Caenorhabditis elegans: one gene and its partner. The protein of the gene in region 1 purifies or fractionates together with the protein of each later gene. This does not show direct contact. Each region holds a gene or a part of one and is shown in the gene's direction. Other genes may lie near its edges. The genes, in order: Y56A3A.30 and fce-1.

Region 1 (7,686 bases):
GTAGTTTTCGCTACGAGATATTTTGCGCGCCAAATATGTTGCGTAATACGCATTCTCGGAATTTTGTGTTCCCAATTTTCAAATATGTGAGAAATATTTGTTGTACATTTCCCAATATCCCGAATTTCTATTTTACCATAATTTACAGTAGGATTACGGTAAGAAATCGCAAAATTTCCAAAATTCCACACCGACCAATCACCAAGCCTGGCTCCACCCACTTTTGAACCAATCAGCGTTGATTGGCACGAAAATTGGCGCTGATTCGTCTAAATTCCTCCCGGCGTCAAACACCACAAAAACCTCCCGACCAATCAGCATCTTCGAGCTCCGCCCACTTCACCCGATTGGTTGAAGAGTGGGCGAAGCGAATCGCTGATTGGTCGCCTCATTTTGGAGGGAATTTAGCCAAAATAAGAAAATCTCGTTGGATTTCCATATTTTTTTCGACTTTTCTGGATATTTTAAGGCAAAATCCTTCTCCAAAAGTCTCCAAAAAAATTCCAAAAGCTTCTCAAATGTATTTTTCTTCTAAAAGTGCTTCCTCTCCAAATTTAAATTCATCAGCGTCTCCTCGAATTAAACATTGTCTGTCTGTGTCCCGGCGTCGTTCTATTTCTCTATGTCTCCAACATCATAATTTTTGTGAGGGCTGAACAGCCTCACTCTCGCCCTCTTGACTAGAAAAAAAACAGCCATCTCCTTTCCTTTTCTTCATTCCTTCCTCTTTTCCCAATTTTCTTTCCATACCAGTTGCACAGATAGTCTCGTTTTCTCTAGCCACCTTCAATTTATTGAGGAACATTGACCACATTACAATCGTCCCCAGTGCCGTGGGCAATACCGAAACCTGCCGTATGCCGTGGGAACACTGGGCACAGGCATATAGTTCACAATGGCATTTTGCTCTGATATTTGCTCTTTTTTTTATCGCATTGCTATCTATTTTCTGCTCTTTTTTGGTTTTTTTTGAAATTTTAAGAAATTCCAACTTTTCAATGTTTTCATGTACATAGAGCATCTTTTGGCAAATCCGCGATTTGCCGGAATTTTCAATTCCGCCAAAAAAATTATTTCCAAAAAATATTGTACTCTATATAGGTTTTACACATATTTTGTGGGCTTAATTTTTTTTTCTAGAAAATTGGCACACAAAAATGTGTAAAACCTATATAGATTCATCAGAAATTTTGAAATTTCCGGCAAATTGGCAAATTGGCGGATTTGAAATTTCCGGCAAATTGGCAATTTATCGAAAATGAAAATTTCCGGCAAATTGGCAAATTGATGGATTTGAAATTTCCGACAACTTGGCAAACTGACGGAAACCAAAATTTCTGGCAAATCAGCAATTTGTTGGAATTGAAAATTTTCGGCAAATCGGCAAATTGCCGAAAATCAAAATTTCTGGCAAATCGACAAATTGGCGGATTTGAAATTTCCGGCAAATTGGCACATTGCCGGAATTGAAAATTTCCGGTAAATTGGGACATTGCCGAAATGGAAAATTTCCGGCAAATCGTCAAATTGCCGAAAATCAAAATTTCCGGCAAATCGACAATTGACGGATTTGAAATTTCCGGCAAATCGGCAAATTGCCGGAATTTAAATTTACGGCAAATCGACCATTTGGCGAAAGTCAAAATTTCCGGCAAATCGGCATATTGCCGGAATGGGAAATTTTCGGCAAATCGGCAATTTGTCGGAATTGAAAATTTCCGGTAGATCGGCAGATTGACGGAATTGAAAATTTCCGGCAAATCGGCAATTTGCCAAAAATCTAAATTCCGCCACTTTGCCGGAAATCAAAATTATGGCAAATTGGCAATCGGATTCTAAAATAAAACTTCCGGCAAATCGTCAAATTGCCGTATTTCAAAATTTCCGGCAAATTGGCGGTTTGCGGGATATGATATTATCTGGCAAATCGGCAAATCGCCGGAATTGAAAATTTCCGGCAAATCGACAAACCGGCAATTTGTCGATTTGCCAATCGGCAACCGCTGTATAGAATTTGATAATTTTCTGAGTTTCAACATGAAAAAATATTTCAAACGATACATTTTCACATTCTTAAAATTCAGAATTTCTTGAAATTGAAAAAAAACCTTTTAAAAAAACTATTTCTCTATTTTTCCATATAAATTTCTAAAAAAATCGAGATTTTCCAATTTTCTTGCAATTTCCTTTCGAAATCACAACAATTTTCCAGAAATGAACGACGAAGACAGTGAGGAAAGGCGTCATCACCCTAAAGTACCCCGGCTTGCTAGGCAGTAAGTACTCAAAAATTGAAAAAATCGCTAAATTCGCTCCGACCAATCAGCATCCTCGAACTCCGCCCACACCACCTGATTGGTTGGGCAGAGCGAATCGCTGATTGGTCGGAAGTTTTTCGCGATTTTTCGTGCAACTTCAACAAAAAAAAACTTCCAGATCACATCCCGAACCACCTGGTCCTAGTTCAAGCACATCCAGCACTCCACTCTTCACCGATCCAACGATTCACACGATTCTCGATCAGATAGGCCAACGACTAGCGAGCTTCAGCGAAAGTGATGTGAAACGAATCAAAAACTACTTGAGCACTGTAACAGTGACACAGGAAGCGTGTGTTCTGTTGCTTCTGCCCAACAAAGAACGGGAGAAGCTAATGTTTGCCGAGATTGAAAGACATATACTGGAAAACTATGAATATAGTATGATAATTCATCGATATGTGAATGATGTGCTGAAGCATGCCATCGAAACACAGTTCGTTAATCCGGATAAACTCGACGAGAGCAACGATGCTTGGAAGGACGGATTGAAGATGATTAGCGAGCAAAAGATGAGAAGCTCGCGGTACACGGCAGCTCGGGCTCGAAGTCAGCGGTTCGCAATCGCGAATGATAGCTACTTCCCGAGGCCTGAGATTGTGCCTAGTACAGATCATCCTGTCTTCGCTTCAAGACCTTCGGTTTCTACCCAGGAGGTTCGAACTGGGCGCCAACAAATAGATCAGGAAGTTTCTGGCAGGAAGCGAGAATTTCATGGAAAGCTGATTCCGATCACAGGCGTGGTTGAAGAGCCAAGTGTCAGAATAAATGCCGAACTTCAGCAGTCAGAAACGCAACAAATTGGAGACAGTTCAGATCAAACAGGTAAGTTGTTTAGTAATATTGGCTTATTTCAAGCCAATTAGTACATCAGAGACAGGATTGCACGGCAATCGAATTTTCGGCAATCACCGAAATTGCCGGAAATTTTAAAACCCGGCAATTGCGGAAATTGCCGAAACTTTTGAAAATCGGCAATTGCCGAAATTGCCGACTGCTCAAAATTTTAAAAACCGGCAATTCCCGAAATTGCCGAAAACTTACAAAACCGGCAATTGTCGAAATTGCCAGAACTTTTTAACACCGGCAATTGCGGAAATTGCCGATTGCTCGAAATTTTGAAAACCGGCAATTGCCGAAAAATTGAATAACTTTTCAGATACTGCGACTCCGATAAGCGACATAGCCACTCATCAGGATCCGGAAAACGAAATCAGTCCATCAGTGACAGAAGGTTCCAATGATATTGCTGACGATGCTGGAGCAGGAGACGACTTTTCGGAAAGTACTACTGGAGCTGTGCAGCCTGAGCAACAAGCATCCGAGCACTCCAACTCGGAAGGTGTCGAGAAGTCAAGCTGCGCTGAATCTCTTAAAGAACAGCCAGATCAGTCGAGCCCAGCCGTTTCTAATACTGTTTCGGAAAACTCTAATACCGATAGTGAAATATGCTCTGGAATAGATCAAAATCCGAATTCGGATAACCTGGAATCTACGATTGATGTGGGTGAGCCGCTTCGCAACACCTCCGATCAGCCATCTCCTGATCCTTGTTCTGATGTCCAGATAGGAGTGAACAGCACCACCAAGCAATCCACTGATCCTTCTGTGAACGTTCAGCTTGGACACAAAAGCTCCGATCAGCCATCAACTGATCCTTCGGCACATGCTCAGTTGGAGGACAACTGCACCATCCAGCCTTCAACTGATCCTTCTTCGAACGATCAGCTGGGAGACAATACCTCCGACCAGAATTCAACTGATCCTTCTTCCGACGTTCCGATGGAAGACCCTGGAGAATCAGGATCAGCTGCTTCAACGCCTCCACCCGACTGGGATGTTGCAGAAGTTCCGATTCCTCAGTGTAGTGGCCACTCTGACGGCAATATCGGAGGCACGAATGAAGTTACACCACCGGAACAAGAAGCTCAAGTATTGGCTCCAAGACGTTCAGAGAGATCTCGTATAAAAAATATTTGGCTCAGCCGAGATGAAGTCGAACGATTGAGATATGAATTTGTGCCACCGCCGTCCAGAAAAGATATTCCGAAGTGCACTGCCAAGAAGCCCGAAGCTGAGATACCGAATGTAGAGCCAGAGTCCAGTTCAACTGTAGAATCACAGAGAGATGAAGATCAAGCGGTTGCGAGCGGTGAGTTCAGAGATATTGAATATTTTACATCAGGGGTGGGCGGAAAATCCGGCAAATCGGCAAATTGTGGGAATTGAAAATTTCCGGCAAATCGGAGAATAGTAAGAATTGAAAATTCACGGTAAATTGGCAATCTGCCGAAAATCAAAATTTCCGGCAAATCGCCAATCTGCCGAAAATCAGAATTGCCGGCAACTCAGCAAATTGCCGGAATTGAAAATTTCCGGCAAATCGGCGAATTTCCGAAAATCGAAATTTCCGGCAAATCGCCAATCTGCCGAAAATCAAAATTTCCGGAATTAAAAATTTCCGGCAAATCGGCACATTTCCGGAATTGAAAATTTCCGGCGAATCGGCAAATTGCCGGAATTGAAAATTTTCTGCGAATCGGAAAATAGTGGGAAATTGAAAATTTCCGGCGAATCGGCAAGTTTGCCGGAGTCGTAAATTTCTGGCAACTCAGCAAATTGGAGGAATAAAACATTTGCAGACCGGAAATTGTCGCCCACCCCTGTTTTGCACTACGCTTTGACAAGTGTGAATTTATTCGCTTTTTTTATTTGCCTGAATTTTGCCGATAAAGAAGATTTCCGGCAAAGTGGAAAATTGCCGGAATTTAAAAATTTCCGGCAAATCGGCAAAATGCCCAATTTGCCGCCCACGCCTGCTTCACAAATTGATTAATTGCAGCCTCTTCCGTAGCTGAACCTCTGGAAGAAGCCACTACAACGAGTGTGCCAGAGCCAACAGAGTTTCAATTGTCACGGGACATTTATAGCACTGTAAAGCCGACTGATGAGGCTCATAGCCCGCCGATTCAAGCCCAACCGAAGAAAAAAGCCACGCCAAGACGGAAGAAAGCAGATGACGTGGAAACTGTAGTAGCTGACGGAACAGCGACGATCCCGAAGCCGAAGAGAAAAAGGCCGCCGAGGAAGAAGCCTGAGCCGAAGCCGAATATCGTTTTTGAAACAACGCCGAATCCTCCGACAGAAAGCTTCGCAGCCAACAACAATTTCCAGCAGTTCCAGTTTCAAAATCAGCCTGGTAGTTGGACCTACAACAATGGATTCGGCAATGGATATGGGTACGGCGGTGGAACCACTGGATACATGGATAATCTTGTTGGCAGAGGGTTTGACACGGTTTCTCAGCAGCCTGGATTTCAGAATCAAGGTACATTTTTTAAAAGGAATTGAGAAAAATGTGCCAAAAAATTTTAAAGGTGGACTACGCTTTGTGGGGAAATTGCTTTAAAATACGCCTATGGTACCACAATGACCGAATATCATGATTAAAAAATTCAAAAATTTTTTCTAAATTTTATATGATTTTTTGAAAATTGGAAAAATCACAGTTTTCCCCTAATTCCTATTTGAATTACCGCCAATTGAATTTGTTCGATGGGGCGCGCTTGCACGTTTTTAAATTTATTTATTTTATTTTTTGTTATTTTCCACCGATTTTTAATGTTTTCGGTGTATTTTTGCTCGAATTTTAGAGAAAAAGTCAAAATAAATGCAAATTTTCGATTAAAAAGTGCGCTTACAGGCGTAAATCAGTGAAATTAATTAATTCAGGTTCGAAATCGTTTAAAAGCGTTACTTTTTCATTTTTACGCCTGTAAGCGTGCTTTTTAATCGAAAATTTGCATTTATGTTGATTTTTTCTCTAAAATTCGAGCAAAAATACACCGAAAACATTAAAAATCGGTGGAAAATAACAAAAAATAAAATAAATAAATTTAAAAACGTGCAAGCGCGCCCCATCGAACAAATTCAATTGGCGGTAATTCAAATAGGAATTAGGGGAAAACTGTGATTTTTTCAATTTTCAAAAAATCATATAAAATTTATAAATTTTTTTTTGAATTTTTTATCATGAAATTCGGTCATTGTGGTACCATAGGCATGTTTTAAAGCAATTTCCCCACTAGCGCTACCCCACCTTTAAAGGAATTGTGAAAATTGTGAAAAAAAAAATCAAAATTTCGAAAAAAAAAGCGCTAATTTTAACTAAAATCTCTAATTTTGGCCACTTTTCCGTGCTGCAGCGTCCGAAAGTGCACTTTTTTTGAATTATTATTCTTATTATTATACATTAAAAACCCCCGTACTCCTCCAATAACGCCAATATTATCGACCATCTGGACGTGACCGCGTGCAACCACGGCCTAGCTGCCGCCACCCCATTCAAACGAGACATTTCGGCGGGAGAGTCCTTTTTTTCGATAATTCGGATTTTTTTGTCTGTTTCAAGTAATTTTCGCCATAAAAATTACCATTTTCTTCTTCGGTGCCATTTCTAATGATTTTCCAGTGCGTTTTGAGTCTGAAAGTTTGAAAATAAGAGTTTTTGCACAAAAATGTGTGAGAAAAGTTCAAGAAAATCGTCGAAAAATTCAATAAATTAATTTTAAAATTTAAAAAAAAATTAATTTTTTTTAAAAATCAATTCTGTGCATACACCGCCACGCAAAAGTGCACACAATTACCTACCGTAGTCAATGCGAAATTAAATGATTTTTATCGATTTTCTTCATTTTCAGGTTACGAATTCACCGGTTTGCCTGCAAATAACTCGAATAATTTCCCATTTTTGTGATTTAATTTTTCAAATATCCTTATCTATGCCCTCAGGTTTATTTTATCTCATTTCCACTCGTGTTTTTTGAATAAAAATTCTTTTTTTTTCTTCTAGATTTCCGTTTATTTCAGAATGTCGAAGACTGTAAGAATTCCGGACATGTTCCTCAAAGCATCCGCTGCCTCTAAACGGTATTTCCCGCTCTGAAAATTCAAAAAAAACCACCGAAATTTCAGAAAATCCGCTTCAAATACTGAAAATATTCCGGAAAAAGTTCCCGCGGGCAATGAAAATCAAGAAGTCAAGAAAATGAAGTTACAAGCACCAGAACCAACTGAAATTCTGCTAAAATCCCTGCTAACCGGTGAATCTTGGTCGAAACTTTTAGAGGAGGAATTCAAAAAAGGCTATATTTCGAAAATCGAGAAATTCTTGAATTCCGAAGTGAACAAGGGCAAGCAAGTGTTCCCACCGCCCACACAAATTTTCACAACATTCAATCTTCTGCCATTCGACGAGATCAGCGTGGTTATCATCGGTCAAGACCCCTATCACGATGATAATCAAGCTCACGGGCTCTCCTTCAGTGTTCAGAAGGGTGTAAAACCGCCGCCATCGCTGAAAAATATC
Region 2 (4,041 bases), on another chromosome or scaffold:
AACTCTTTTACTCAAACATGATCCAAATCTTGCGAATGTTAGATTCCAACTTGTACCCAAACAGTGAGTTTTTAAATTATACTTTTTAAAAAGTAATTTTGAAATTTTACTCTACGTGTTAGGACCTGGACCGTAATAACACATTATAACTGTTAATAACACTTCTAATTTAAAAAAAATGTTGTAAAATTAATAAATGGCTCAATTATATTTCGAATACCCGCGCAAATTTCCTTTTAATTTTTGCAAAATAAAAACAAAAATCATTAAAAAATTCAGTACATTTTTTCAGTTATATTTAGTTATTGCATTCCATTTTCTAACACTTGAAGTAAAATCCCCAACCGTCTCCTCCAACTATTCTTCAAAACTTGAGAAATAAATTTCAGAGTGAAAGAGAATCAATTTTGGCAAAATTATTTCTATCGTATCGGGCTCATTCGGCAATCTATGCTTGCTCAAGGCACGGGAAGAACTACACCGACGCCTAATCCAATTGTTGAGGAAAAGAAGGTAGAAGAGTCAGATGTATCTGCTGAAGTTGCTCCACAATCGTCTTCTGAAATTAAAGAAGAAAAGAAAGAAAATGAGCCGGAAGTGAAGGAAACCGTATCTGAAGAAAGTTGCGAAGACGAGGATGAAGAAGAGGAAGAATTGAAAGAAACTGTTTCTGAACAACCTGCAGCACCAGGAGAACTAACTTTGACAAGTGTCGGTGCGTTCTATGTTTTTTTTTCAAAGTTAAAACTTTGATTATGTTATTTTAAATGCTGAATAAGTTTACGGTTTATTTTTTGAAGAAAGTACATATCAATGAATGGCGGATTGCAAGCAGGGCTGTCACAAAAATAATTAACAAAAAATGCGTGTCTTTTTCCTTCTCGTTTCTGAAAATTAACAGTTTTGAAAACTTTTTTTTAATTCTCTGTCCAAAAATATTAAATTTAAAAAAAAACGACAGCCCTGATTGCAAAGGATTAATGATGATAACTTTCGCCGCATCTTACGGTAATTGATTGTTTGCGTGGTGAGACCCATGCACGTTGGATACTGCCAAAATTATCATCTTTAGACCTCAACGTAATATTTAGACTGATGTCCTACCGCAGTAATATCAATTTAATTCGATTTGTTCCACTTTTTGACCATAAACCGCCGATTCTTAAAATTAATTTTTCTTTCTTTTTCAGATGAAGAATGGGAACGAGAAATTCTCAATGATTTGAACGATTACGATGATGTTGTTGAAAAAACTGGAGGAAAAGACGATGATGCATGGGAAGCTGAAATTCAAGATCTTCTTAATGCTGAATAATTTTTAATTACTATTTTCAATTGCATTCCAAAAGAAACAAATAATACTATTCACTTCGTTTTCTAAAATTAAAAAAAATTTCAGTGTAAAATTGTAAATAGCTCATGTTTTGATGTCCCGATGTCTATCTGTAATTTCAATGAATATTTCGTGATATAATTTACACGTTTTTTGAACTTTTTGTCTGTTCGTTAAACTCGAATCTAACATTTTACTTTTTCAATTTTTTTCAGAATAATTTACTAACATTTCTCATCTTCAGAATGGACGCAAGTTGTCTATTCAAAGCACTTTTAGCCACAAATTGGGCACTATTTTTATGGGATCAGTACATCACATTTCGACAGTACAAGTAAGTTCTCATTGTACCGATTTTTCGCAACGAGAAACATTTTCAGAGCTCATAAAAATGCTGTAAAACGTCCCAATGAAGTCAAAGAACTTATTGGAGAAGAAGATTATAAGAAGGCCAGAGACTATAAAATTGATAATCATTTATTCGGATTCTTCCATAGTTGGTTTAATCAGCTTCTCCTCACGGTTAGTGACTGCTGAAGTTTACTTTAAATGAAAAAATAATTTTCAGGCACAATTGATTGGAGGATATTATCCATTCCTTTGGTACGCAACGGCTAGTTATCCATTGCATGTGGCTGTATTTCTCTCAATAAACTCAATAATTGAAACAATCATCGATTTACCTTGGGATCTATATTCCACTTTTATTATCGAAGATGCCCATGGATTCAATAAACAAACTATTGGATTCTATTTCGTTGACAAAATTAAGAAAATGCTCGTCGGATTTGCTCTCACTATGCCAATCGTTTATGGAATTGAATGGATTATTGTCAATGGTGGACCATACTTCTTTGTCTATATTTGGTTATTTGTTTCTGTTGTTGTGCTACTTTTGATGACCATTTATCCAACTTTCATCGCTCCACTCTTCGACAAATATTTCCCATTGCCTGATGGAGATCTCAAGACGAAAATTGAACAATTAGCTGCTTCTCTCAGTTATCCATTAACTGAACTTTACGTTGTCAATGGCTCAAAACGCTCGGCTCACTCCAATGCTTACATGTATGGATTCTGGAAGAACAAGCGCATTGTGCTCTATGATACTTTGCTAAGTGGAGCTGAAAAGGAGAAAGTACATGAATTGTATGTGGCAGCTGGAGAGAAAATCGAAGAAACTGAAAACGACAAAAAGAGAGGAATGAACAACGATGAAGTTGTGGCCGTTCTGGGCCATGAATTGGGTCATTGGGCTTTATGGCACACTTTGATCAATCTTGTCATCAGTAAGTTGATTTAACTGAACTCACAGCAAAACGTAGAATTTTTCAGCTGAAGTCAACTTGTTCTTCTCTTTTGCAGTTTTTGGATACTTTTATAAATGGGAAGCCCTCTATCAAGTAATTATATTTAAACCATTAAATTCTTAAAATTTTAATTTTCAGGGATTCGGCTATCACGATACTCCACCAGTCATTGGCATGATGCTCATCTTCCAATTTGTCCTCGCTCTCTACAATCAACTCGCTAGTATTGGAATGGTTATTCACTCCCGTTCTGCTGAATTTGGAGCTGACGAGTTTGCTGCTAACCTCGGACACGGAGAAAATCTTATTGGAGCTTTGACCAAGCTTGGTGTTGACAATCTGTCGATGCCTATCAATGACTCACTCTACTCATGGTGCACTCACACACATCCTCCAGTTGTTGAAAGAGTAGCTGCTGTTAGAGCCTTCCAGGCAAAGAATAAATAAATTCCCATGTTTTACTACTTGTTTCTTGAATGCCAAAGTATTTTATATAATTTAATTTATGATTGTAATGTGATATTATTGCATTTTTTGAACTTAAATTTCGTTAATATTCTCTATAGTAAATAAATTTTTTTAAACAAAAACTGGAAATACAATTAAATTCCAAGGAAAATTTTAAAACGGAACGAGACTGATCTCTCGGTCTCTCATTCGCACAAACTGTCTCATAGAAGGGTCTCGCCGCGACTCAAATACAGTACCCGCGGAGAACAAAAAAAATGTTTTCTAGAATGTTCGCTTTATTGTTGTTTTGTTTTGTTAATTCCCGGGAATTTCCAGAAGTTTGCTTTCTTCTGCGAAACAATTCATATCATCATTTTGTTTTTATTAAGATCTCCGTTTTCATTCTTCTTTTCTCTCTCGCATGCTTTTTTCCTATCAAATGAACTGAAATTTTAAAGAAATGCCGTACGACTTCTACACCGACGGTTCCGCTCTCGGAAACGGCCAACAAGGCTCCAGAGGAGGCTATGGAGTTCACGTTCCAAGTGGTACGGTTTTTTGTGCAATTAATTGTTCCTTATTTGAACATATTTCAGATACATCGAAGAATGTGAGTGGCTCTTATCCACACGGACCACAAACCAACAATCGATATGAGCTGGAAGCCATCAAGCACGCCACCCAAATGGTAATTTTCAAACATTCGTACCAACATTCAATTTTCTGCATTTTCAGGCTCGTGATGTTCCAGACAGCCACGTGAGAATCCACACTGATTCCAAGAACGCGAAGGATTCTGTCACCAAATGGAATGACAACTGGAAGTCGAATGGCTACAAAACTTCTTCGGGACAAGATGTGAAGAATCAGGATCTCATCAGAGATATCGACCGCAATGTTCAAGCGCTCAAGCATAGTGGAAAGGTAAGATTATAATTATTATATATA

Evidence for each region.
Region 2: the proteins of Y56A3A.30 (region 1) and fce-1 fractionate together in Caenorhabditis elegans (co-fractionation; one large-scale study listed by BioGRID). This does not show direct contact.

What each region holds. Positions count from the first base shown.
Region 1 is NC_003281.10:11,973,592-11,981,277, reverse strand, and holds Y56A3A.30 (SP-RING-type domain-containing protein), read left to right. Parts: upstream 1-2,212; 5' UTR 2,213-2,214; coding exon 2,215-2,276; intron 2,277-2,436; coding exon 2,437-3,143; intron 3,144-3,477; coding exon 3,478-4,470; intron 4,471-5,160; coding exon 5,161-5,646; intron 5,647-6,751; coding exon of another isoform or gene 6,752-6,772; exon of another isoform or gene 6,773-6,801; intron 6,802-7,018; coding exon 7,019-7,074; 3' UTR 7,075-7,150; downstream 7,151-7,686. Other genes in the region: Y56A3A.31 (SOSS complex subunit A homolog), read right to left, coding at 6,752-6,772; ung-1 (Uracil-DNA glycosylase), read left to right, coding at 7,189-7,247, 7,293-7,686.
Region 2 is NC_003279.8:9,710,256-9,714,296, reverse strand, and holds fce-1 (CAAX prenyl protease 1 homolog), read left to right. Parts: upstream 1-1,577; 5' UTR 1,578-1,578; coding exon 1,579-1,667; intron 1,668-1,713; coding exon 1,714-1,855; intron 1,856-1,901; coding exon 1,902-2,622; intron 2,623-2,668; coding exon 2,669-2,736; intron 2,737-2,781; coding exon 2,782-3,090; 3' UTR 3,091-3,245; downstream 3,246-4,041. Other genes in the region: C16C2.4 (BSD domain-containing protein), read left to right, coding at 1-63, 390-715, 1,191-1,315; rnh-1.3 (RNase H type-1 domain-containing protein), read left to right, coding at 3,554-3,641, 3,690-3,781, 3,829-4,017. UniProt on the Caenorhabditis elegans protein: Proteolytically removes the C-terminal three residues of farnesylated proteins.